Tribolium castaneum: one gene and its partners. The protein of the gene in region 3 purifies or fractionates together with the protein of the main gene of each other region. This does not show direct contact. Links are inferred from orthologs where the notes say so. Each region holds a gene or a part of one and is shown on either strand. Other genes may lie near its edges.

Region 1 (4,132 bases), on a different chromosome or scaffold from region 3:
TCGCAATAATTGAGTTTTTAAATCGAAAATATGTTTTGAAAGCTTGAAAGAGGCCAAATTACCTTGTTTATATATTTCTTTCATTTCAGTATTTCTTCCACTTATTTTTGACGAAATTTCGCGACATAATTACAATGCCTTGACTAGAAAAACCTATCTAAAATGTCCATAAATAAAATGGGACACATAATGTCATTGATTACCTAATCTAAATCTCGAAAAACAACGGGATTTTTAACAAAAAAGTAGTTAAATCCTCAAAAAAAGAAAAATATATCACCATCCTCAAATTAAAGTGGGTTTATTCGGCGTATTTTTGACAAGATTCTTTCAAATAATTGCTTTTTTGCCTACAAAATCAAAATAAATTTTTTTTGACTTAGTTATTAACTTTTATGCGAGTCTTTAAGTCAAAAAAATGCTAAAATAAAACACATTCTTTAACGTAATGTAGAGTTTTTTTAATTGAGTTTCTGACTAAAATTTTGCTAAAGACGTTTAACATAGTTTGATGCAGACGAAATTTCTCGAAAAACATTTGTCGTTTTCTGCTTGTCTAGCGAAAGCAACTAAGTTTTTAGCCTTAAAAAGTACATTGTGATCATTTAAGTTTATAATTAGAGTAAGCTTTATTATTACTTTTTTTGAAAACGCTGATTAGTGTAATTAAAAAAGCTGAAGAATATTATTTATTTAGACTACAATTTTTTACCATAGTTTGGACCAGTTCCAAAGAAAAAAAAACTAGCACAGTACTTAAGCACTTAAAAAGGCAAATGTATAGCACATTCACAATGTAAAGTGCTTTTTTTTCGGCTTATTTTTAAATTTAATTTCCGGGAAAAAATGAGTTTCTAGTTGAAAAAAAAAAAAAGATAAAATAATCAGATTTTTTACTTTTGGAACAGTTTTAAATACAGTGTGATTCAAAGGCAGGGGACAATCTCTGGGGTGCTGATAAAAGACATCAAACTGAATTAAAAGTTCCTATGACAAAAAAGTGTTTGAGTCTTTTTTCACGAGATATAGCTCTTCAAAGTTAAATTTTTAAGTTAAATTATTGGTGCATCAGATGATATTTTTTTTGACTTTAGTTAGCGGAAACGAAATTCGATATCATAGCAAACAAAATAGCAAAAATGGATACCTAAGGAAAACAGTTTAAAAATATATCAAAATTACTTTGCTTAAAAAAATTTGAGTTCATTTTTGTGCTTAACTAAACTTCGTTTTTTACTATACGAGCGTTTATTCGTCACTTTTGAATCACGCTGTATAACACAATGCGGTGATGTATTGAAATTATTGTGTTTCCTTTGAAAACAATTTGGTAAAACTCAAAAATGGCAAAAACAAGGTTTTTCACATAATGTGAAATTTTGACCAAACGTCTCGAAAAAAATTATTTCTGACCACAAAATGCTCGAGAAACGTAAACATAATGTAATCTTAAGATTGATTAATATAATTTTGCTAGATTAAGCGAAAACTAAAAAAATACTAAAAAAATCAACTACCTAAAACCGTAATAAATTTTAAAAGGGTGAACAATCCAGAGAAAATGTAATGTTGGTGGCATTTAAATTATATGAAACACCCTGTATAATTGCGTTTCTGGATAAAAAAATTGCTAATACTCCACAAACGTCAAAAACAATGGGCTTTTTGACCATATTTAATTATTTCTGCAACAACTTTACGTGACAACACCAATCTCTTAAAAATAACTGTCACAAGTGTAAAATTGTCTTAAGACAAAAATAATGTATGTGTGAGTAATTTAGCAATTTTTCAAAAACATGATTAAATTTTGTTGATTTATTTGTACTGTTCAGTTTGTCTTGAAACTTGAAAAAAAACACGGAGCTACCGTTTATCCAAAAATATTAAGAGCGGATTATACATACTTGAACCACCTCCTTCTTTTTGTGAACTTCCCCCTTTGGAAGCGGTACATATTCCTCAGCTTCTAGATCAAACTCAGTCGCATATCCATCAGATCTGCCTTGACGCTTAACAGCCCCACTATTGGCTTCAATATAAATAACGTCACCTACTTCGACTTTTTCCTTCTGAAGGGCTTCATAAATACTGGGGTCGAGTTTCAGTTGTTTGCTACCTTTTGCAGTTTTCAGGCCAATAATTACATGACTTACTGTCTTTCCATACCCTACAAAACCAAAAGAAATATATAGAACATTGTCAAAGTGTCTAAAAACTAAAACCTCCAGCAGGATTCTCCGTTTCAACAGGAGTCAATTCAGTAACTTCCCCCTCATAAACCTCCTTAGTCTCCCTAATGCGCAGCCCTATGGCCCTCCGGAAATTCTCCATCAACACCTCCGTCTTCTTAATCTCAGAACTGTAAACCTCGGACCCCACCATGGGGCAAAAGGGCACCTTATTACCCAGTTCTTGCGCGATGGCCAAAGCTATCGCAGTTTTACCGGTCCCAGGGGGACCCGCTAGAAGCACAGCCCGTCCGGCCATTTTCTTACTCCTAATCATATCCACCACAATCCCTGCGGCCTGAAACCACTGAATTTAGCCGAACTCTGATTAAAAAAGACAAACCTAACCTCCCTAGCCTGTTCTTGGCCGACCAAGCCGGCCGCTGTTGGCAACGCGAAACCATTCTCATCTAACCCTAAACCTTTAATGTGGCTGTGGGCACTTATTCGTTGCGTTTTCACCGTACTTTTCACTTCTTCAATCTTCATTTTTGGAAAACACGCTAACCAAACTTTGCTTGATCAATTTGAGTTTTATTGTTGTGATGTTGGTATGGCAACAACCGGTTGGAGAATTTTGGAGCGTTGGGGTGGTCATAGTGACCATTTCAAATTCATTTTTGATTAAAAAATCGTTTTTAATATTCTGTTCGAACTCAGCAGTCACAAAGTGATTTTTGAAATGTTTCATTATAATACTATGACCTAGTCAAATTTTAAAGAAATTGCGAATTTAATTTTACATTGATCGAGTCACCTGAGACACCTGAGAAATGGCATGTCAGCTCAACATGACAGAACGGCCATTTGTCAATTATCACAAAATGGAAAACTTTCTAATTTTCCTTTAATGAATCCTTTCGATTTTAACGATCGGTTAATGCATTCCACAGGTGAGTATTTGGCGTGTTTGTTGTCTCTTTCTCAAATTGCGGCTGTCCCTGTCTTGCAGGTTCGGCCAAAATCATGTGATCGGTCGAAGCTCCAATGACAGTCGCTGACTGGAGCTCAGTAAAATCAGTAAAATACTTGGTAAAGTCTGCTTAAACGTTAGGTGTCAGTGTTTGTGGATGAGTGAGTGGAAACAAATACAATTGATCGGAAAACTGCTTGGTCACGATCACTCAATACTTCTTGTGAAAAGTGCGAAAAGATGAAGTAAAATGGCACCCAGTTTTAGCAAATATGTGACAAGAAACAATGCTCTTGCAGCCGCTGGAGCATCGACAGCTTTATTATGGATTTTAATATCACGACGAAGAAAAAATTTGTACAAACTGGACAGGTATGAAAATTGACCCCACTTCGAGACTTGTTTGACTCCGGTTTTGTTCTAGGAGAAAAGTCAGGAAAACCGTGGATGAAGAAGTGAAATATTTTATATCTGAGAAGAAAGAAAATAGGATTAAGGCGCAAGTTGATAGGCAATTTCTTAAGCAACTTAATCACCTACTTAGAATAATTATCCCAGGATGGACTTCACCTGAGGCGGGATTTCTATTCCTTGTAGCTGCGAGTTTAGTGGCTAGATCTGTGTGTGATTTATGGATGATAGATAATGGAACGAAAATAGAAAGGTAAATCGAACAATGAGTTGTTGGTTACTTCAGTTAAGGAAGCTTAGAGGTTATGTAATTGCATTCCGAATCTGAACTTTATGTGATTAAGTAAAGGCGTCAAATATTTATGCCGTCTTAGCCAACGGTTTTGGTAGAAATATTTTTGCTTTTTTACCGTGTTATCATCGTGACTGGATATTTGTATAAAGTCACCGATTTAATTAAAATTCATTAACCTTGAGGGGTTCATTATCTGTCTGAATCTAAAGAGGAAAAATACCACCAATATTTTACCGTTGTGATATTGCTGTTGACACAGCTTTCACCCTACAGTTGGTATTT
Region 2 (2,336 bases), on a different chromosome or scaffold from region 3:
GTTATTTGTGGAGAGAAATGCTTTTACTAAACACGTCTGGCATATTACAAAACCATTTGTATAAGAAACAAGATTTTTCAAATACTTTCGCAAAAAAATTAAACGGATATTCTAATACGCTAATGATCGGATTCTCTCACCTAATAGAAAAAACATAATCCGAAAAAACGAGGTGTAGTAATGAGATTACAATTTCTTTGGAGTTTAGTCGCACACCTTTGTGTTTGTTTTTGACATAAATCTTACACAAGAAAAAGTTTATTTACTTTATACGATTTATAATTTATGTTCGTCTAATTAATTAATACCTTGTAATAATTTCTAACGCAAAAGCGTAATAAAAACTAAGAAAATGACATTTACGAGCAGACAATTTTATAATGCAGCAATGAGTGTTGAAAAGATAAAACAATTTAAAGAAAGTTGAACTTACATAAATACTTAAATTTATAGACACATACACTTACCGTACTTATTTCTTATTTGAATGAAGGAAATCATTTAATTGCTGAATAATTTTATTTATTGTTCCAAACAATTACATCGGTAAAAAGTGTACAATTTCAATATGCAGGTACTTAGATTCCAAACTCACAATTGAAAAACCTTAAAACTGTAAACACACACAAATAGGTTGAGAAAACAGCACAAAAAGTCATCTGTGTCTAGCTTTCTTATTATTAGTTTTTTTAGCACTTGCACTGAAACTTTTCTGTTTGGCCGAAACGTCTCTATTGGGGCTATTTCGATGGTCAAGCCCGTTCTGTACACCATTCAAGGAATTCGTCGAGTGTTTTCCTGCATTTTTCATCCCAGAATCTATATGGTTCGAATTAGGACCTAAGTTAGTATCACTAGAATCTCCATTAGTTTGAGATTCAGTATCGCTGTGCGGCTCCACTACGAGTAAAAAATAAAACTAAAATTACTTGAAAAAGTAACTGCTTGAACGTAATACCTGTACAGAAAAACTAGACGGTTTTAGCAATTTAATTGCCAAATCATTCGGCTGAAAAAATGAACGATGAATAAAAGCGGCGATTTTGTGCAATGTAAGTAGATCGGATCAGTGGCCTTGTAAATTTTTCTGTTAAGGTATTTCCAAACTAATTACTACAAAACGCGTTACAATGACCGATTGTTCTGGCGACTGTTATTACAAAATGTCTACATTCCATCGCCAAAAACAACGTTTATAGACTATCACAAAATTTTAGTTGCTAATTAAGTGAATAGGAGGCAGGATACAATTATTAAAAAAACAAAAAATATGAAAAAGTAAAAGTAACTTTAAAAATGAGAGAGATTCCACGGTAAACAAGCAAATTTTCCGACACAATTAATTTCTAAAAAGCGTTCATTAGAAAAATTATGTTGACATCAATGGTTTTTAAATTGCTGGGGCCATAATTAATTTACGGATTACTTCCGCATTTTTGCCCCACTGTTATTATGTAAATATTTTCCATTTATAGTCATCAAGTTACAGCATGGGAATTTTTTCTGACTTAATTAGAATAACGTACACTAAATTCAAATATGACAGGCGTCAAACGCTACTAAAAATTAGGTATTTATGACCTATTTACCCTTAACTTAAAACTCAATTTTCATTTTTAATTATTTTTTAATATAAAAAACACTGGGGCATTAGAAATTTACTCTTTTTTCAACTTTATATTAAATTCATAATTTTCGATGTTTCTACAGGGTTAGTCTAAAAAAGTATATTTTTAAAGCTAAAATCATAAAGATGAGCGTTTGCTATCAATTAAATCTTTCTACGCATTTTTTTTTCGGAATTTTCCTATAAATTTTTAAAATAAAGTTTAATTAAGCCAATGAAAAAATTTTTGTGCAAAAATAGATAAAAAAAATAATCATCGATTAAGTTAATCTTGGCAAAGTAAATCACAAGTTCAATCTTAATTACAGTTTGATTACAATTAAAAATGTTGGAAAATATGAACAACACAATAATTTTATTTTTTGGTGGCTAGAAACAATTTTTTTATTATTAATGGTTCCCTTCAGAAAGAATATCATTAGAATTTTTTCGTCAGTGACTTAATATTAATTAATTTAAATTATGTATAAAGAACTGCCGAAAAATTCTCTGTGTAATTATTGAGTTTTGAGACACAGGAAGAAAATACTTTTAGCAGAATGACACTGTACGTATACACCTCAATTTCAATTTCAATGCAATATTATTTTGCAAATTCTGAAACTCAAACAAAAACGATTTTTAGAACTAATCCTGAACTAGTACAGAATTTATTTAAAGCCCATGTGTTACAAAACTAAATCCACATAGTTAGGATATTTTTTACCCT
Region 3 (4,137 bases):
TCGATTTTTCGTCATGCCACCAAATATTTTGGTCCCCCATAGTCCCAGGGCTTAAGAATTTACTCCAAAAATAATTTTAGACGCGTTTAGGCAGAAAGGAAGCGAAATGAGAGTCAGGTTGATGGGTGGTATCAGAAAAGAACTAATTCTCTCACCTTACAGCAGCATTTATTTAAAACCTTACATACGAAGAGATACAGAAACTTATCCATCCTGGCTACGCCTAATGGCCGAGATACAAATGAAAGCAAACGAAAAAACACAAAATTACGTTCTACCTCCAAGGGCCCCTATTGACTACACCTACGTCCAACCTGAGCACATACCTGCCATTAACAGTCTCTGCAACAACTTTTTTTGGCCAGGAATCGATCGTAAGTGTCCGAAATGTTACAACACAATTTAATTTTTTGTTGCAGTAACTGAAAGTTTGCAATATCCGGATTTTAGTTGCGTAGTTTTGTACAAAAAATTAATAGTGGCGTTTGCGTTCCTCGTCCCCAATGTTAAATACACCGAAAATTACGTCTCTTTTATTTTTACACGGCCAGGATGGCGAAACGTCGGGATTGGAAAGTTCATGTTGTATCACTTAATCCAAGTAATTGAAAAGTCGATTTTTATTAAACTAGTTGGTTAATTAATTATTTCAGACAAGTCTCGGCAAAGATATCACACTACACGTGTCCATCAACAACCCGGCCTTGTTTTTGTACCAAAAGTTCGGTTTTAAGGTGGAAGCAGTCGTTTTGAATTTTTATGATAAGTATTTACGCGAGACAAGCGAATCGAAACATGCGTTTTTCTGCCGCCTTGAGAGGTGATGTTGCTCCGAGTTGCATCGTGTTTTACGTAATTTATTGAGGCACTTTTTATTAATTTTAATAAAGTGAGAAAGAAACTAAATGCGTCGCCTTTTTGTCACTGGTGGTGTGACTGTGATTGGACTAGATTTACCACTCGAACTGGAATCGTCAGGTTTAGAGCTGCCTCTAGTAGGGCGCTTCGTCAGTTTTGGTGTGTCGTCACTTTTCGCTTTTGCCTTGTTTTCCTCCCTTGGTGTACTACTATTACTCTTACCTTTACTTTTACTCTTTTCAGCCTCTTTCTTGATTTCTTTTTTCGCACTCACTGGGGTTTTGTCCTTACTGTCTTTACTATCACGCCTTGGCACCTCCTTACTGCTCCTCACAGGAGTCTTTTCATCTTTTCGCAATTCCTTGAGCGACTTGGGCGTTTCGCGCCCTTTCTGCGCCAATTTCTTGTCCTCTTCCTTCTTCACAATGAGGGAACCGAAGTCGGAATCGGGAAGTGTGAACTCTTTCTCACTATTCGGGAACGGAATCGACTCACTCTCATCCAAAGCTTCCAAATTGTACATTGTCTCGAGGTGGGCCCACACCTTGTCCGAGTTGATCTCCTTCTGGCAACTATCAGCGAACTTGTCACAGATGCACGCCATTTGGAAGTACTTATTGACGCCTGAAAGGGGGCTTCAGTTTTTTAGGTTAGGTTCGTGGGGGACGTACCGACGGGCTTGTGCCCCACCATGGCCTCCAGGAGCTGCCCCTCGTGCGCCACGTTCCACTCGATCTCGTCCATGGGGCCCTTAATCATTTAAAAACGGAATTAAATTATTTAAAACGCCAATTGACAAATGACTGTTTGAGGGCGCCACTGCCGCCATCACGGTCAATTTGAAATTTTAATTAATCTTTTAGTCATTATTGTTTTACAGGCCACAGATGTATTATCAACTACATTAGAATGTTGTTAGAACACTTCAACATTTTTTTTTTGCAAAATAAATGCATTCAAGTCTTGACACACGTTTTTTTGTTTGTGACCCTGAATCCCGTATTTTCCTTTTTCCTTAAAAAAAATTTAATTTGAGCTCGTCAAAGTACCGATAGTTATTAAAAACACGAGCTACAATGTTGGTAAATGATTTACTGAAGAGTTTGTCCAAAGTTTCAATTTAAAACTGCCGGTTTGGGGAATTTGGCGCCGTGTGCGTGGTGCTCTTGTCAAATTTTGGCGCAATTTGATTCAAATCACGTTTTTTCGTCCTGAAAAGTCCGAGACGGGAACAGAGCCGGACTTGTGGAGCTCGGAATTCGCTTCGGGTGTGGGCCGTGCTTGGAATGATTGTGAGCAATGTGGGTCCGGTCCCCGGCGTTGATTCGGGGCCCAAATAAATAAACAAGACATCCCGGAACTGAATTAGCCGCTCCGGTGAAATGGAGTCTTCGGTTCAACGTTCTGGTTGCGGTCATTGCCTGGTATCTTGTCAGGCGGCTCTTCTACAACACCGGTATATAATCCAGCGTTGCCTTGTTCAGCCTTGCCTTCAAGAATCGATCGAGACAGAGATGGAGGAAAAAACGGCCAAAAATGACTGAACTCGTGAACGCTGGAGGCTCCAGCTTTTATGTAACGCTGCTTTTGGTTATTTTGCAATTAAACGGGCCCCGGGACCTTCACTTCCGAAAGGGGGCGAAAAGAGGGCAATAAACCGTGACTTGTGATTATGGACGTGTTGACACTGCGACCCCCGGTGTCGTATAATTATGCCCGATCGATTGTTTGGAAATGGAAGTGGAATAATTTCGATTCAGTAAATTCGCCGCATTACTATTCGAATTGTTGGCCCCGGAAGGGTCCGGGTGGCTTTGTATGCTTAGTTTCAAATGGTTTTTATCGATGAAAGTCAACAGCAGATGTTTGTACGCGAAATATTCTGTAATTTACATTACGGTAAATATTGGAGTTGTAGTCATTTTGCAGCTCCTACAAATAACTATTAAAAAGTAAGCAAACTCACATCTGTTTGGCTCGAGGGGCTCTTAACTCACCTATTTATAGGTTTGTGATTGCTTTGTTATTAAAAAGGGATGGGCACCTTATAATTAATTTTTTCCCACATTCAGTTTTACCAAAGTTCGTTGTCCTATTTGCAATAAATTTATGATTTTTTTATTATCTATTATCCGTTGAAAAAGTTGCATTTCTGAGGACTGTGAGGTCCCGTAAGGCGTCTTTTTGTGTCGGAATTCACCAAGTCAAGCCGACTGTGACTGTAATATTTCAATTCTTAGCCTTGCCAGCAAACGGTTTCCCTTGTCTAATGACTTGACGTCACTTGTGCAATTAAAATTCAAATCGTACCCCATTATGCGCACAGTTATGACAATAAACAGGCCATTAAGGCCCAAATCGCCGCAATCCGGCGCCTTTCCCTCATTTTCCAGGGCATTCCTCTCTGCTTTTTATCCAACACGGATCTCGCGATAAAACACAAATCTTATTAAAATTGCACATTTTTTGCGAAAGCTGCGATTTTGCCCGAGGATTGTACAGTAAAGTCAATAATTGCCATTGTGTTATTGAGTGGCTGTAAATGAAGACGACAGCGCACTTTGGAGTTTCTCCACGCAAAAAAAAACAAAAAATCTAACTTTCTTCTTCTCTCATGACAATCCGAAATAAAACAATTTTTTGTCAATAATTATAATAAGCGGAGCTAAACTTTGGATGAAATACACACTTATTATACATATAGAGTGTCAAGTGAACTACGTGAAGCTTAAAATTGTTTAAAGCTGGGTTTAAATTAAACCGTACCTTTGATGTCGCTTAATAGGACGTGACATAGAAAAATTAAAAGTCAAAAAAGCCAGTCAGTTATAAAACTTAAACAGATATTTATTTTTACGTATTTTGTTATATTTATTTTGTTTCAAATTTTTCTTATTTTTTTATTTTATCGTGTATCTCCTCCTCTGTTGAGTAAAATGGCAAAAATGTGCAAAATGGCCAAAAACAGATAACTTAATCTCAAGTATTTGCCAAATACCTACCTGTGTTAGGGAGGTGCATACGTTGTCAGCGATTATATTTGGATGTGTATAAAGTTACGAGCTAATTTTTAATTAGTTTTTTTAAATTTGAGCTTGCTTATGGATGCCCAAGTTTGAACTTTTGCACATTGGCGTGCAACGGTACCATTGCATAAATTAAGCCCAGCACTGGTACAGTCGTGCGAAAAAGTGTAAGAAAGGAAGAAAAACGTGCGATTGGCTAAGCGCAAAAGCAATAGCGCGTGATTGGTCGTTGTCACCAATTCCATGACTGTTT
Region 4 (2,463 bases), on a different chromosome or scaffold from region 3:
TTAATATATTTGGAACACTTTAAAAAATATTGTAAATTTGCAATATAAACCGCATATCAATAGAAAGCTTATAAAAAATGCTATCGATACGTCTAAAGAAATACATGGTGTTCCATTAAAAAAAATTAGTTATTCAACTTTTTGCGTTTTGACACACCCTGTATATGATTTCCGTGTTTCAAGTAAAAGTCGACAATTTCCTAAAACTTCAAAGTATTTTGAATTTTTCTGTTGCAAATTTATCGGAAAATATTCATAAGCGACTTTGCAGTGAATTTTCAAAAATTGGTCTTTTCTATAACGAAAAGTCGAATAATTCCGAAACGAAAAAAGATAGACCCATAATAGTTTATATAAAGTTACATTATTTTTTTACGTAGAATCCAATTATGCAAAAATATATAGGGTGTTCCGTTAAAAAAAATATAACTTTGGTTCATCACTCTGTATACATCCTGGGCATAATAGAAATATTTTTAGTTTGTGGAATTTCAGTAGATCTATCAAATAATAAAAACAGAATGACAATATTTCAAATAGCAAAAAAGTTATAGACCGATTATACACTCTTGGATCACGCAAATTATTTTGTATATAATTTATTTCGTAAAAACTGCATTTTCCAAAAACTTCCAGCATCATTATTAAAAAAAATTTTTAGAAAAATATAGTTATTCTCACAATCATATCTAAGTGTCCTACGCTCAAAATTTTTTTTTTCTGTTACTTAGGTCCTGCTTAGACCAATTAATTTCGTACATATGTATATAACGACTAAAAATTGGAATTTTATTATAATAGTATTATATTATTTTACGTGTCTTTTCAATATAATTCATTTCATTTAGAAAAAAAAATCTACTAACAAAAAAGTATCCACTAACCTTGCTATCAGCTCCGTCAAAATGCGCCAAACTGTTCAACCGACTGGAGATCGACGTCACTGCCTTATTGACCATATTAATAATCTGTTCGCTATCGCTCAACTTCTCCGTATTATTCCCTGCCACTTCCTCCGGCTTCTTCATCCTCGACAAAACCATCTCATCTCTCAAAATCGGCTTCAAAATCGCCGTTACTTTAAAATTCGGATAAACGAAACACCTCGCCGTCGCAATCATGGACGCTGTCAAAGGCCCACTAATCCCAATACTCGACAAATACTCGACAATATTCGGCGTCAGCCGAAAGGGCACCGATCTGGTGGCCCCAAACTCCCCCGTCCCATCATCCACATCAAACTTAAAGTAGGCCACGTTCATTAATCCCGAATCCTGATGCAAGTACATCATGTCGGGATTAAGTCTCGTCAAGTGCAAGACATGTTCGGCAAAGCAGGCCAAAGCCAACTGCAATGTGAACATTTTCCGAAACTGCCAATAATCGGTGGCTGATGGGAACGTTTGGACCGCCCATTGTTTCAACAACGTTCTTGGTACCATGTTTGTTTGCACCCCTTTTAAAATATCCCTACTCAATTGATGGCTCGCTTTGATTCCCCTACTCTGCACCCCACCCAAGCGTTCGTAGTAGTAATGAATGGGATCGTCGTGCTCGATGCCTAGCTTGGCACACCCCTTTTTGAAAATGTCCAATAGGGAGATGGAGGCGGGGTTATCTTCGACCAATCGGATTTGCTGCGAGACGGCAACAACGCGCGGTACGGTAAAGTGGAGAAAACGTCGTGCGGTCTCTTTCTGTTTGCCGAGACAGTGATTGAGCATGCGCAGAAGTTGAAGGACGCGTTCTTCACGACGTGCGTCGACTAGACCCGAATCGTTGACAACTAAATAAGGGTAGATTTTTCCGTTGTGACCACGGATGTAGAGACGCCTGGCGGCGGCGTTGTGTTTTTGGACGACGTCAACACGAGGCATGAAACGAGTTATGCGAACGTAGTAATGGTTGTGTTTGGGGAGGAGAAATTCGCCGGGGATTTCCACTTCGGCGGTTTTAAGGGTGAAGTTTGAGAGGAAACGGCATTTTTCCTCAATTAGGAACGACCTAAGAGGAAAAAATTTGGCTAAGTAATACATTATATGTGCGGTATAGGTTGTTTTATTAAAACTGAACGCTTTAAAAAACCTGCACAAATAATGTACAGTTCATATTTCAAAACCAATTAGAAAAAACATAGAAAAGAATATTAAAAAAAAAAACATTTTTAAATGAGTCATAATAAATTTCACTTCAAAAAAACTCGTGGAAAGCCTATTGATTTCAAACAGAATGTAAGTTAGAATTTATTTATAACTTTTTATAACCTCTATAGTCCGTTATTTTAATAATGAGTTAACTCTGAGTTAGAAAAAGTCCATGTTAATTCAACAGTCAGGTCAAGTCAGGTCTGAAAACTTAGAAAAAGTCTAAGTTAACTCAACAGTCAGGTCAGGTCAGGTCTAAAAACTTAGAAAAAGTCTAAGTTAACTCAACAGTCAGGTCAGGTCTGAAAACTTAGAAAAA
Region 5 (4,028 bases), on a different chromosome or scaffold from region 3:
ACATCCTCTCCCATCAGTATTATAAACAAACCCAAAACAAAATATTACACAATAAAACGTACGAATAAACAACGGAAAACGTTTCATTTTTTTATTAATTGAAGATTAGTTTTGCAATCGCAAGTTCATTGATTTCAAAATTCACAAGGTGATGAAAAACGACTAAAACGTTTGAAAAGTAGTCCACTTTAACTCACACTTCGCTTTAATAAAAATAATTCGACGATTTTCAGAGTAAAATCTGACAATTGCGAAACTAGTGAGTTTCTAAATAAAAAATATGCGTAAACGCAAAAATAATACCACTTTCGACTTAATAATATCTTGGACGTAAAATGTGCCAGTAAATACAAACAAAATGCATTTTCGTAAAAAATGTACTACTGAACCCGGTGTTTTCTCCATGTTTCTCCGTCAAAACACAAGTTCGCAGTGTTACTATTATTAAGTGAGGAGGAACAGTGTGGATTGGCAGAGGAATATGTTAATAAAAGAGAAAATGTAAAAAATCATTTATTGATCTACCACTTGGCGCGTTTGCCCCAATCTTTAGGTGTCCAATGCAGACACTTGGGGTCGATTCGGATAAGTCTACTATCCATGGCTTTTTTGTGACTTTGCATAATTTCCTGATTTAACGTTATAATATACTGGCCTTTGTAATAATTGATTAAGTTTAAGTTTTGTAAAGTTGAGATGACGTCTTCTTTTTTAATACTTGTCAACTCACAAATTTCACTTTAAAGTGAACAAACATTTCACAATTACGAAAAATAAAGAAATAATCAAAAATACTTACTTGATCGTTATTTGTGGCTTCTCGTTATCACCCACTGGCTTCATTGATATTAAGATTTCTAAAATAGCTTGTGCCCAGTAACTCCTATACGAAAGCAAACCCAAATCGGAGAGAGGTTTTTCGGGAGAACCCGTTTTACCTTCGAACTTTGATAATTCATAACCTGAAACAATTCGTGAAATTTCGACAACAAAAATTCGCACTCAAACTCACTAAATTCGATTAGTAATTTTCCGTAACCCTTTCGCTGATACGGAGGCATGGTTAAAATACACGCGACGTTAAAATCTTCCGTTGATTCCTTCTCTTTCGAAAAATAGCCAACAATGTGAAACCCTCTATTATCAAAAATGGTCATTACGTAAAACAAAAACGGGTCCGTGTCGTAATACAGTGTTTTATGATCGAGGAACAGCTTCGCCAACAAACACAAATTCTGGGCGTAGACTTTATTTTTCCGCCCGTCAATTTCAAAAAACGAGACGTTTTCCTTGCGATAAATCTCATTTCCGGGCGGGTGTCTCAAATTACATTTGACCAAGTGGCGTTCTAGACACTTCCTGCTCTTTCGGTACTTGAGGCAAAACTCGCAGATGTATATACAGCTCAAGTTGACCATTTCTTGCGGATATGGCGCAAAATACCACGGCTTTATCCTGTGTTTCCCTAACTCGATCATATCGATGTTCTTCATCCTGGTGACCACATCGTCATGGTGCGACACCATGCTCCCAGACTGCCTCGGCCCTGGGGGCATCTGTGTGGGCCCATCTTGCGAGTCTTCGCTCTCAAGAGACGGCCCTTTTCGTTTCCTATTTATGCGTTTTTGCAACGCTGCTGCTAGGACAGCACTGCCGTTGACAAGTTCGGAGGCAGCTGTCACAGGGCTCGAGGGCCTTGATACCGAACCGATGGCACCACCGCCCCCAATGTGAATTTTTTTCGGAGTTGAGACTCCAGTGTTACTCCCGCCGTCACGTCTCGGGAAGTGGACTTTACGAGTGTCGAGCGATTCTTCGGTCACCCATTCGTCCAAACGCTTGTTAACTAAAACCCAAGTTAGTTCACAAGGAACGAAACGGGTGTCCAATCTTACAATCAACGTAATGGACGTAGTACAATTTCGAGCCTTGCACGTCCTTAATACTGATAATTTCGGCCAAAGCTGCAATTTAAAACATAAAAACGTGCAAAATGTGCCAAAGTGGGGCTTACGCCAGTCGGAAGTGCCGGTCATGTGAACCGGGAGCCTGCATCCTTCCACTAACGAATTCTAAAAGTGAGGTTGTGTCAACATTTTGGTTTTGCAATTTTTAATGAAAATATACCACAGAATCACAAATTGTGCTGTCGTCGATTTCCTCCATTTCCACTTTCATCGATTCTGCTTGTTTTTCACAATTTCGGGGGGAAAAATTGTAATTATTGCCGAACAAACCTCACCACCACAACTACCGCAAAAAACATAATGCGCAATATCCATAACGATTTTTTTCCATTGCATAATTGTTATCCAAAATAATGTTTTGATGCGACTTATCTGTATATGCACATTCGGCGAACCGAAACAATACACACAAGTGTCTACTATTTAATAAATTATCATTATCTAGTCATGGGCGTAGGGTGTTGCTCGGGGGTTTCCCCCGAAACCAGCACACTCGATAAAATCACACAATTCCATTCTCAGACTCATTGTTAAATTAACGCCTCACCAAGCTTTGTTCACAAATTGGTGATAACACGTTTGACCTTAGCTTCGCTTGAACGCAGCGTTCTCCTAATCGCAGCCCACAGTTCAAACGGAGTTTCGCCTATTTGCTCTTGGATTCGCAACAACTCGAAGAAAATTTGGACGAACTAGGCAAGGACTGTGCAAAACGAGAAGACATAGAGTCGATTATTTTGCACCACAACCAACTCACAACGCTCCCCAAAAACTTGTCAAAAGTCACAAACGTCCAAGTCCTCCATATCAGCAACAACGGCCTTATGACCTTACCTGATGTTTTCGAGTACTGGCATTTAACAACACTGGTTGCGAAAAATAATCGCTTCAGTAACGAATCCCTCCCGAAAAGTTTCGCTGAGAGTGCGAGCATGCAGGAGTTAAACCTGAGCGGGAATGTTTTCGAACAGTTCCCGAACAACTGTTTGAGTTTACTAATTTAAAGTACCTGTACCTAAGAGGGAATAAAATTAAAACAATACCGAAAAACATAAAGAAATTAAACTGGTAAGTGGGGACGATTAAAACGACCACACGTGATAATGATTGCAGCCTTCAAATCTTGTCGATGGGTGGCAATCAATTAGTGGAAGTTCCTTCAACTCTAGGCCAACTGAAGCAACTGCAGGCTTTGGTGCTTTGCGATAACTTAATCGAGAGTTTGCCGTCAAATATCGCCAATTTGCACAACTTGAAGTCGCTCCAGTTGCACAAAAACAAATTGCGCACTTTGCCGCCTGAAATAATCGCGCTGAAAAATTTGACTGAGGTAACAAATAAATCACCTTTATGTAAAAATAAAATTCGTTCGTCACAGCTGAGTCTCCGTGATAACCCCCTTGTTGTCCGTTTTGTGAGCAACATAACACATAACACGGCTAGTCTGAAAGAATTGTCGGCTCGTGTGATAAAACTTTTCGCACCAAAATTTCACATTGCCAGTTTCTGTTTAAATAAAAATATGCATTTTTATTTTTCCATTGACTGCATGCGAAACTTTTATAATTTTAGACGTTTATAGGCAAATACATTTGTCATAATTAATTTTTCTAGATCAATGCTGTTCTATTTTGAATAATTCTGTGTATGAATGTTACTAAATTTGACGGATTTTGACAGTGAATATTTCTGGTAATGACCTGTTTTAGACTTGTGTGACGTCACATCCGTGACGTGTCCCGAGGTTAGGTGTGCGGCGCAGGCGGCGAGAGCGCTTCAGTCGACAGCGAGCAGCGGCACGGGTCAGATCGGGAGCGGGACCGGGAGGCGGGGCGAAGCGAAGCGAGGTGAGGTGAGGCGGTTTATTTAAATTATTGTGTATTGTGCCGTTTCGTTCAATTTATTCAGTTTGTTACTTGCCGTTGTCGCGAACGGACGTATGTTCAAGCAAATCTAAATTTTCCGGTTTATATTTTAAATTCGGTGACTAGTGATCGCGTTTGAGTGACACATTTTAAATTCAGTAACTATAAGTAAAATCAAAGCACTCAAATAATTTAT
Region 6 (4,298 bases), about 12 Mb from region 3:
AGTGATTTTTTATTAAGTAGTTGACTGAACTATTAAATAAAGCATATGTGTTAATTTAGTTATGTTGCATCAGTGAATTGACTAGCTTAGATACGATTAATTTATTTTTAGTTAAGTGAGTTTTTAGTGATAAAAGAATGGAATTAGCAGGGAGGATGATCTCATCTTGTCTGAATAGCATAAAATAGCAATAGAAAAGTGTACATTGACATGCTTTTATTTTCATCCGTTCACGATGCAACATTCATAGAGTACCTATTTATAAGTAGAATGTAAAAGAATAATGAATATCAATTATATCATATAATTTATGTTAAAATAGGTTTCACAAATTCTTGCCATGATGAATCCTAGCCTAGACTGAAATTATAAATATTGCTTTGTTACGTAATGAGAGTAGAGTATATGAAGTGTTTTAGTTGTAAAGGATGTAGTTACACACACTTTAGGGGTTAAAACTGCAATTCTGTAACGAAGTCTGTTATATTTTTACCGAAAGTGCTCATGCTGTTATCAAATTAGGTGACGTAACTTTGGGAAATGCTTTTGACGATGAGAGCGATTTTAACAAAATCATTTCTTATTCACAAAATTACGATTTGTTGAAAATTTCCTTCACAGTCATATTCACCTTATAAGTAGGGATTTTTTTCAGAATCATGTAAATAAATGTAGAAAAGTGCCTATTTTAAATTGCGCATCGCTACCCTCTTGGTCAACTATTAGAGTAATCTCAAATTATTTAATGTTTTAACTGTTGTTATAATTTGGTTTATAATTGAATAAAGCTGCATTTTTACAGTTTGCCCGCATTTCCTTCAACACACAAAAACATTTCAAACAAATTTATTCAACTACTATGTTACAAAGTAAACTATCATAGCGTGAAACACAGTAAGAGGACCGCAAATCCCAGACGCTCATACTGATTCATGATTATTGCAGCAACGCCAAAACGAAAAGCCGCTTTCATAACTCTTGCATTCCAAAACATTATTATCAGACGCAGCCAAGTTGAGGAAGGTCTTGTCACACTTGTCTCAAACGCTGGTGCATTCACCGGCTTGTCGTTTTTTCCACCACTTTTATGAAACACTCCATATTTGTCGATGTAATAACTGATTCGCCCTTCGGGGGCCATTCTGAATACTGTTTCCACCTTTTTTTTTTTTTTCAAAGAGTATCCTTACATTTGATTGTTATGTATACACTCACAACTTCTTTTTTTACTTCACTTTGGGACACTGGGTGGAGCTACCACCAGAAACAGCTTCCAAAGCATTCGAAAAAAACATTTTTTATTGCATTCCATTCGCAAGAAAGTGAGGTTAAAAATTTGACAACTTGCCACTAAAGTAGCTACCGCGCAAGCTACCGAAATACTTAATAACAGAATATGCCATAAAATTCGACAAATACAAAAAGGTGGCCACAATCTATATGTATTTGATAACATTAAACCAGCTACACCCAAAATACACTAATTAATTAAAAAACAGTCATTAAATTAATACTTTTCGATCATAAAAGCCCTCGTCAAAAATCACGGTCTGTACGTAATATCTAATAATGTCTGCGTATGAAATTTTCAAGATTATTAATTTTTATGAATAATAAGATCTTACGAAATTATTTAGACAAGTGTGCTTGAAACATTACATAATCTTACACTGATTGTGGTTGACTTTCTTTAAAAATCAGGCAAAACTTCTGCATAGTTTGTCCAGGTTTGACACTTTGACAGTTGACAAATATAAACAACGTTCAAGCTTGTTATAACGATAATTCTTGTGTGCGAATTTCTACTTCAAGAATGTTTATTCAGTGATACTATTAGTCACTTTCCTGGCAAGGTTCTTGTATTTGATTTTTGGACGTTCGGGCCAACATAACCTCAAAATGAGTTCAATTGAAGAACGTTTACAAATAAAGCGTGAACCGCTGGATAAATGGTCAATCCGTGAACAGTTGGCTCTAGCAGTGGCTCGTAACATGGACCAGAATTTAACAAGTGTGAGCCGAGCTTTAAAACCCTTTGGTGAACCCAACAGACCCCCTGATTGGTTCCACCAGAAGAACTGTGCAGCCCAGTATGGGGCTCTTTTAGCGAATGTTGAAACACCTAAGAGGAAGAAAAGAACGTCTGGGGGCGAAGTCACTATCGAAACCCCCGCCGAAGTCATTCTACGCAAACTTTTGGCCGAGAGACAAGCTGAGCTCAAGAGACTACTAGCGGAAGAAAAAGCAGAATATCAGAAATTGCAGAGAGATAAAGCTCTGCTTCAGTCAGGTATTCACAATTAAATTAAAGTTGTTTGAAGTTACAGGGGCTATATTAGAGCCTCTCAAACTTAAGACTGTTGCGGAAATTCGGTTAAGTATTTTTTGATAATTAATTGTTTTATTTAAAGGTAACGTAAGTGAAGAACAACTGGATATTTGGTGTAAGGAAATAGATGAAGAGGAACACAGGAAGGAACAAGAAGCCCTGGCACACGAACAGTGGCTAAAGGAGAGGGAGTTACGAAAACAGGAAATAGAAAGAGCGTGGAGACCAGTTAAGCCATCCCCGGTGATTGGTCAAAAACGTAAAAATTCCGAAGCTATGGACACAATCCCAGAGATGGAAAATACAACAGAAGAACAGAAAATCCTAGTGCAGGAGCCCCCTAAACCGGCCCTATCGCCACTTCTGACAAGTCTTCTGAAATCACCATCACAAGTTCCAAACGTTACAACTTCCTCAATATTGCATTCAGCGATTACCAACCAACGGCCAACCAACACAACTACTAGCCCCATGATTGCCAGTCTTTTAAGCTCCTCAACTGGAGAAACAGTTTCTCCAGGATTGCAACTTTTGGTTAGTACAGCTATAGGACAAGAGCCAACCGGAGAAGAAACCCAACAACAGAATGTCAATACTAACGATATCCTCGATGATGCCAATCTACAAATTTTGAAAATTGATGACTTGGCGAGCAGTATCTTGATCCAGAATGGCCCACTTCCAGAAATAAAGAATGACGTTGATGTTATCATCTCCGATTTGATTGAGAACGCGCAGGATATAGTTGCAGATCCGGAACAGCATCTACAACTGGATGGAAACGGTGATCTTAATCTAAATTTGGAACTGGAAGATTTCGAAGAGAGTGAAACTGATATGAAGGACGAAACCAAAGAAACAGAAAAACGGACGGAAACTACAACACCGGCAATAGATCCGTTTGAGTTCCAAGAAGATCCGGAAGTTTTTGAACCCGCTAAACCTGCAACAGCCGTGAAAACAGACGCTTCTAAAACTATGGTAGCACAGGACAGCGACGATCGGTCACAAACTACTGACGAAGCCCCAAATTCAGACAATAAACACTTAACTTCAAATGGCGAAGAATCTCGGGATGAACTGGTAGAAGTAAAAAACGAACCAACTGATGATTCCGATAAGAAAGATAAAAGCACAACTCCTGGATCCGTCGAAATTGTAGAAGTTGTAGTTATGGATGATGAGGATACTGACAAGGAAGTCAATAAAACTGAAGATCCAGCCCATTCCGTTAAAGCGGAACCAAAGAAAGAAACAGCAGGGGAAAGTACAGAAGTTGCGGAAATAAAATCAGAAACAGACGCCAAAGTTTCAGAAAATGAAAAATCTAGTGTAGAGATTGAGAAGAAAGACGAAAGGAAACTGGACGAGTCAACCACATTGACTTCCGACTATAACGAGGAATTGTACGACGATATCAATATGGAAGTGAAAGTGGACAAGACCGGGAAAGCAAAGCGCGATTATTCCAGGACGAAGAAGAAGGACGATAAAGAATTTGATGTTCTCTTGGCCATTGAAAAGGCGCAAAGAGACGAAAGTGAGTTGGTTGAAGAGAGTTTCTCTGACCGGGATTACAGCGAACTGGACCGTAAAGACAGCAAATCGCGGATTAAGAGCGAGAATGAAAGATCTAACAGTCCCTGGACGGAGGAGGAAGATGTGTCTACAATACGGACAAGGAGGCGACTTTCAACTCCTGCGACTCCGATTGATTCAGTTCCAGGATCACCAGTTTCCAGTATATATTTTTACGATGATGATCGGGAGTATCGCAATTGGAAGAAGTCTATAATGCTTGTGTATAGTAGATTGGCTGCAAATAAATACGCGTCACTGTTTTCTAAACCGATCACCGATGACCAAGCTCCAGGGTATCACAGTGTGGTGTATAGACCCATGGATTTGTTGACGATTAGAAAGAATATAGAGAATGGGGCTATAAGAACAACGCAGGAGTTTCAAAGAG
Region 7 (3,727 bases), on a different chromosome or scaffold from region 3:
GGCAAAGAAGGAAAATCCTTGGAAAACCATCCTGGCACTAAAATTCCCAACAAACTTACAAACCCAATTTTGACTTATTTAATTACGGTCAAAGTGTCTTTAGGGTGCAGGCTAGTTGTTTGATGTCTGCTTGCTTCACAACCACTTACGAATATCTTACATATTGAGTGTAAAGCTGATAAACAGGGTTTTGTTATTGTCAGAAATAACTGTCAACAATATTACATAACCTAACAACTTTCTTTCTCTGAAATCGGAATATTCGCGGTTACAGTAATTTTTCACTTTATTTTTACAAAACTTATTGGCTGGGATTAGTAATACACAACAAAAAATGGTTCAAAAAACTTTATTTTTGACCTGTACATTTTCCTTTCATTCAAATTACAAGAAAAAATGAAAAACTATATTCTACAAGAAACAATGAGACAAATAAATTAATATTCTAGTCATTCTACAATTCTACATACAGTTTAGGAAACAATAAATGTTAAAATTCGGTTAACATCCTGAAAGGCACAAAATTGTACATATTGCTCATAATAATTGTCATGATTTCAGTTGTTTTAATTAATCAAAGGTTATTTAAAAAAATAGGAAAAAAGCATGAGTGTAGCTGTAATGCTGTTCCTAATGCTAATAAACCTAGGATATGTTGAGATTTGTTAGCTGAGAAAAATTACTGTATCTTAGTTTATGCACATTTGCGACAAACTGGACAACTTCTGTTTTCTTTGAACCATCTTGTGATACACTGATCATGAAATTTATGTTTGCATGGTAAAATAATGCCACCATCACCTTCAGGCAATGGTTCACAACATATCACACATTCCGGAACCGAGTTTCTTCTTTTTTTTCTGTAAAAAGGTGTTTTTGTACGTTGCAGTTACATAATAAGTTACTCACTTGTTCTTTCCTGTATCTGCTGTATCTGGTGTTCTTTCCTGTACCCTCGGTGTGTACACATATGTATACTTATTGTCGCTCTGGTGACAAGAAGCTGTGTTGTTTCTAGCAGTGTAGACTTCATATATGGCCAACCCAATTGCAAAAACCATCGCAGTCATAAGAACTATGCCTTGAACTCCCATCTTTGTTTTCTCTTTTTGTAACGGAAATGTGGCTGGCTATTGTAACAATTACCTACCTTTGCAACAGCAACGTCAGCAGCAGCTGAAGACGACTTATTGATAATTCTGTAATTCCCCTCGATTTATCAGGACCACCAACAAAAAGACGAGAAATAACTCATTTTCACCCTTTTGGTGGGGTTATTGCGGAGGAAAAAATGAGATCAATTCTAAAAATATTCCCACACGCACGTATTTATTCCATTCATTCATTGTAAAGTGCCAAAATCTTTTTTTACCAAAATACGAAAGGACTCGAACGCTTGTTGCAGTGACATATGAAACTTAGCTATTGGTACTTACTGATAATTCTATGGTATCTAGCAAAATACTAACCTTAAAATTTCGCAGTTTGACAGATGGTGTTTAGTGCTTGTGTTTTTTATTTAATTAGGAAAAATATTAAATAAAAACCATTTACTTTGTAATAAAACTTATCATTGGTTTGTTGTCCCTGTCCCAGGCGAGAAATTCGTTACAATGGCAAAAAGAGAAAAACGGGCAAATGCCGGTAACCGTATGGCAAAATTGTTAGATGAAGAAGAAGAATGTCAAGACGAATTCTACAAAACCAATTATGGTGGTTTTGAAGAAACCGAATCCGATAGGGAATACGAGTACTCACTTCTGATTCATTTTGTTCCGTTTTGTTATGGTTTAATTGCAGGGAGGAGGAAGAAGGCGAAGATGTGGTAGATTCCGACTTTAGTATTGACGAAAATGACGAACCTATTTCAGACAATGAGGAGGAGGGTCAGAAGAAGAAACGAAGATTAGTTACAAAGGCTTACAAGGTAATGCACGATTATGACGTTCGATTTTTTGTTAATTTTTATCTGAAACATTGTAGGAACCAGTGCCTGCACCCAGTAAACAAAAAGCAAAACCAAAACCCACAAAACCTGTCCCTAAAGTCAGAACAACCCAACATGAATCCACAGAATACGGTTTGAAAATAACGAGTTAGTTAATAATATTTGGCAACAAACGTGTTACAGAAAGAAAGTCAATCAGGAAGTCCACAGCTGCAAAATCAGCCGCAACAGCACAACGCATCAAAGTACGAAATCTCGAACAAAAGAAAAAAATCAAGAAACCGAAAGAAGAAGAATGGGTGCCAACACAGGAAGAGTTACTCGAAGAAGCAAAAACGACCGAATTGGAGAACTTGAAGTCACTTGAAAAGTACCAAAAGATGGAAAGTGAGAAGAAAACGAAACGAACTGTGAAAAAAGTCATCAATGGCCCTGTTATCCAATACAGATCAACACGAATGCCAATCATTGAGGAAATCAATCAAGATAAAGACATCAAGAACGAATCAGAAAACGTGTGCGAACGCACGTTTATCTCAGTGCTTAATGACCCTAACGATGCCACATTTAACAGCATTTTTGAAAAAAAGACAGCGCGTCCGCTTCCACGACGTCTCAGATGCATTGTCACAGGGTAAAAATAGCTATTTATATGTGCAGGGGCAATTCTTGCTCCCGTCACGTGTACAGGGTGAGTCATTGATATGACATACACCGTCAGTGGTATCGTATTCTAAAATTCTTTGTCCGATAATACAGTCTTCCATTTTTACAGTGCAGTCTAAACATAATTTTTTTAAATGTCAGGGGTTATTTTTTTATTTTTCTACAATTTAATCTGCAGGCATATTACAGTGACTCACCCTGTATATATTTTTTTCGCCTAATTTGGAGGTGCAATGTGCACAGTATGTCTTTCCTGTCTAGGGAGGAAAAGACATAGTTTGCACTTTTGAATTAGGGAGCAAAATATTTTCTAAAAAGCGACGCATTTTTTTATTTTTATTTATTTTGTGTTTTCAGTCACCTTGCAAAGTACGTTGACCCTAAAACGTGTCTGCCTTACCACAGCAGCATGTGTTTGAAGATAATTCGTTCTGCTTATTACCAACAACTGGAAGCTCATGGAGATAAGAGTAATCCAGTAGTTGCAAACTGGCTTAAGTGGTACGTTAAGAATAAGGATAAGTTAAGGAGGGAGTTGGCGTTGAAAGTAAAAACACATCAGGTGGATCACAGTTGATTTATTTTGCTCTATTTAATAAATTTTTATAATACAGTTTCTATTTCTTTCAAATAAAACTGTTTTGGTCTGAGATCAACACGATTAAATGTTAGTGAATGAGTTTGCAACAAATTTGGACGAATGAAAAGCGTCGAAAACGTTTAGTTAATATATTTATTAAACTGGTGCACAAATAATACATTACCATAATCTCAGTAGCCAATAATTTGGCTGAAAATTGGCTTATGAAGTACAACAAGAATTAATAACATTAAATATTATTAATATGACACATAAATTACATCTAGTTTAACATATCATATAAAATTAATAGGTATTTGATAAGCTACCTCATTAATTAATGCCATTATTACTTTGTTAAAATAATTTTAGCACTTGAGTATGAACAGTGTATATCAAAAGAGTAGTTCGATTAACAATGCGAATTTGTTAATAGATTACTGTTTTAATATACAATTCGTTAAAACTCTGAGAAAACGAAATTAATCTCTAATCTAAGTACAACATAATGTAAATATTTATAATAGTTAAAA

The links.
Region 1: the proteins of MrgBP (region 3) and pont purify together in Homo sapiens (co-immunoprecipitation; 6 studies listed by BioGRID and IntAct, counting the BioPlex papers as one, with this or other methods). This does not show direct contact. The link is inferred for Tribolium castaneum from reciprocal best matches to the Homo sapiens genes MRGBP and RUVBL1.
Region 2: the proteins of MrgBP (region 3) and Eaf6 purify together in Homo sapiens (co-immunoprecipitation; 4 studies listed by BioGRID and IntAct, counting the BioPlex papers as one, with this or other methods). This does not show direct contact. The link is inferred for Tribolium castaneum from reciprocal best matches to the Homo sapiens genes MRGBP and MEAF6.
Region 4: the proteins of MrgBP (region 3) and Nipped-A purify together in Homo sapiens (co-immunoprecipitation; 3 studies listed by BioGRID and IntAct, counting the BioPlex papers as one, with this or other methods). This does not show direct contact. The link is inferred for Tribolium castaneum from reciprocal best matches to the Homo sapiens genes MRGBP and TRRAP.
Region 5: the proteins of MrgBP (region 3) and Tip60 purify together in Homo sapiens (co-immunoprecipitation; 8 studies listed by BioGRID and IntAct, counting the BioPlex papers as one, with this or other methods). This does not show direct contact. The link is inferred for Tribolium castaneum from reciprocal best matches to the Homo sapiens genes MRGBP and KAT5.
Region 6: the proteins of MrgBP (region 3) and Brd8 purify together in Homo sapiens (affinity purification with mass spectrometry; 10 studies listed by BioGRID and IntAct, counting the BioPlex papers as one, with this or other methods). This does not show direct contact. The link is inferred for Tribolium castaneum from reciprocal best matches to the Homo sapiens genes MRGBP and BRD8.
Region 7: the proteins of MrgBP (region 3) and YL-1 purify together in Homo sapiens (co-immunoprecipitation; 5 studies listed by BioGRID and IntAct, counting the BioPlex papers as one, with this or other methods). This does not show direct contact. The link is inferred for Tribolium castaneum from reciprocal best matches to the Homo sapiens genes MRGBP and VPS72.

The regions. Positions count from the first base shown.
Region 1 is NC_087395.1:13,831,749-13,835,880, forward strand, and holds the start of pont (ruvB-like helicase 1), read right to left. Parts: upstream 2,801-4,132; 5' UTR 2,721-2,800; coding exon 2,580-2,720; intron 2,530-2,579; coding exon 2,226-2,529; intron 2,171-2,225; coding exon 1,908-2,170; intron 1-1,907. Other genes in the region: Abcd3 (ATP-binding cassette sub-family D member 3), read left to right, coding at 3,395-3,516, 3,569-3,808. UniProt on the Homo sapiens protein: Possesses single-stranded DNA-stimulated ATPase and ATP-dependent DNA helicase (3' to 5') activity; hexamerization is thought to be critical for ATP hydrolysis and adjacent subunits in the ring-like structure contribute to the ATPase activity.
Region 2 is NC_087398.1:15,243,147-15,245,482, reverse strand, and holds the end of Eaf6 (chromatin modification-related protein MEAF6), read right to left. Parts: intron 901-2,336; coding exon 656-900; 3' UTR 501-655; downstream 1-500.
Region 3 is NC_087396.1:22,638,448-22,642,584, forward strand, and holds MrgBP (MRG/MORF4L-binding protein), read right to left. Parts: upstream 2,801-4,137; 5' UTR 1,618-2,800; coding exon 1,530-1,617; intron 1,483-1,529; coding exon 902-1,482; 3' UTR 825-901; coding exon of another isoform or gene 654-824; 3' UTR 602-653; coding exon of another isoform or gene 420-601; 3' UTR 375-419; downstream 1-374. Other genes in the region: Atac2 (cysteine-rich protein 2-binding protein), read left to right, coding at 81-374, 420-601, 654-824.
Region 4 is NC_087401.1:16,675,661-16,678,123, forward strand, and holds part of Nipped-A (transcription-associated protein 1), read right to left. Parts: intron 2,005-2,463; coding exon 885-2,004; intron 1-884. UniProt on the Homo sapiens protein: Adapter protein, which is found in various multiprotein chromatin complexes with histone acetyltransferase activity (HAT), which gives a specific tag for epigenetic transcription activation.
Region 5 is NC_087402.1:5,803,389-5,807,416, reverse strand, and holds Tip60 (histone acetyltransferase Tip60), read right to left. Parts: upstream 2,574-4,028; 5' UTR 2,179-2,573; coding exon 2,128-2,178; intron 2,073-2,127; coding exon 2,015-2,072; intron 1,965-2,014; coding exon 1,896-1,964; intron 1,847-1,895; coding exon 1,013-1,846; intron 963-1,012; coding exon 800-962; intron 739-799; coding exon 522-738; 3' UTR 501-521; downstream 1-500. UniProt on the Homo sapiens protein: Catalytic subunit of the NuA4 histone acetyltransferase complex, a multiprotein complex involved in transcriptional activation of select genes principally by acetylation of nucleosomal histones H2A and H4.
Region 6 is NC_087396.1:10,840,237-10,844,534, forward strand, and holds the start of Brd8 (bromodomain-containing protein 8), read left to right. Parts: upstream 1-1,498; 5' UTR 1,499-1,899; coding exon 1,900-2,290; intron 2,291-2,411; coding exon 2,412-4,298. UniProt on the Homo sapiens protein: May act as a coactivator during transcriptional activation by hormone-activated nuclear receptors (NR). Isoform 2 stimulates transcriptional activation by AR/DHTR, ESR1/NR3A1, RXRA/NR2B1 and THRB/ERBA2.
Region 7 is NC_087397.1:8,922,175-8,925,901, forward strand, and holds YL-1 (vacuolar protein sorting-associated protein 72 homolog), read left to right. Parts: upstream 1-1,467; 5' UTR 1,468-1,613; coding exon 1,614-1,750; intron 1,751-1,800; coding exon 1,801-1,927; intron 1,928-1,983; coding exon 1,984-2,080; intron 2,081-2,131; coding exon 2,132-2,582; intron 2,583-2,971; coding exon 2,972-3,191; 3' UTR 3,192-3,227; downstream 3,228-3,727. UniProt on the Homo sapiens protein: Deposition-and-exchange histone chaperone specific for H2AZ1, specifically chaperones H2AZ1 and deposits it into nucleosomes.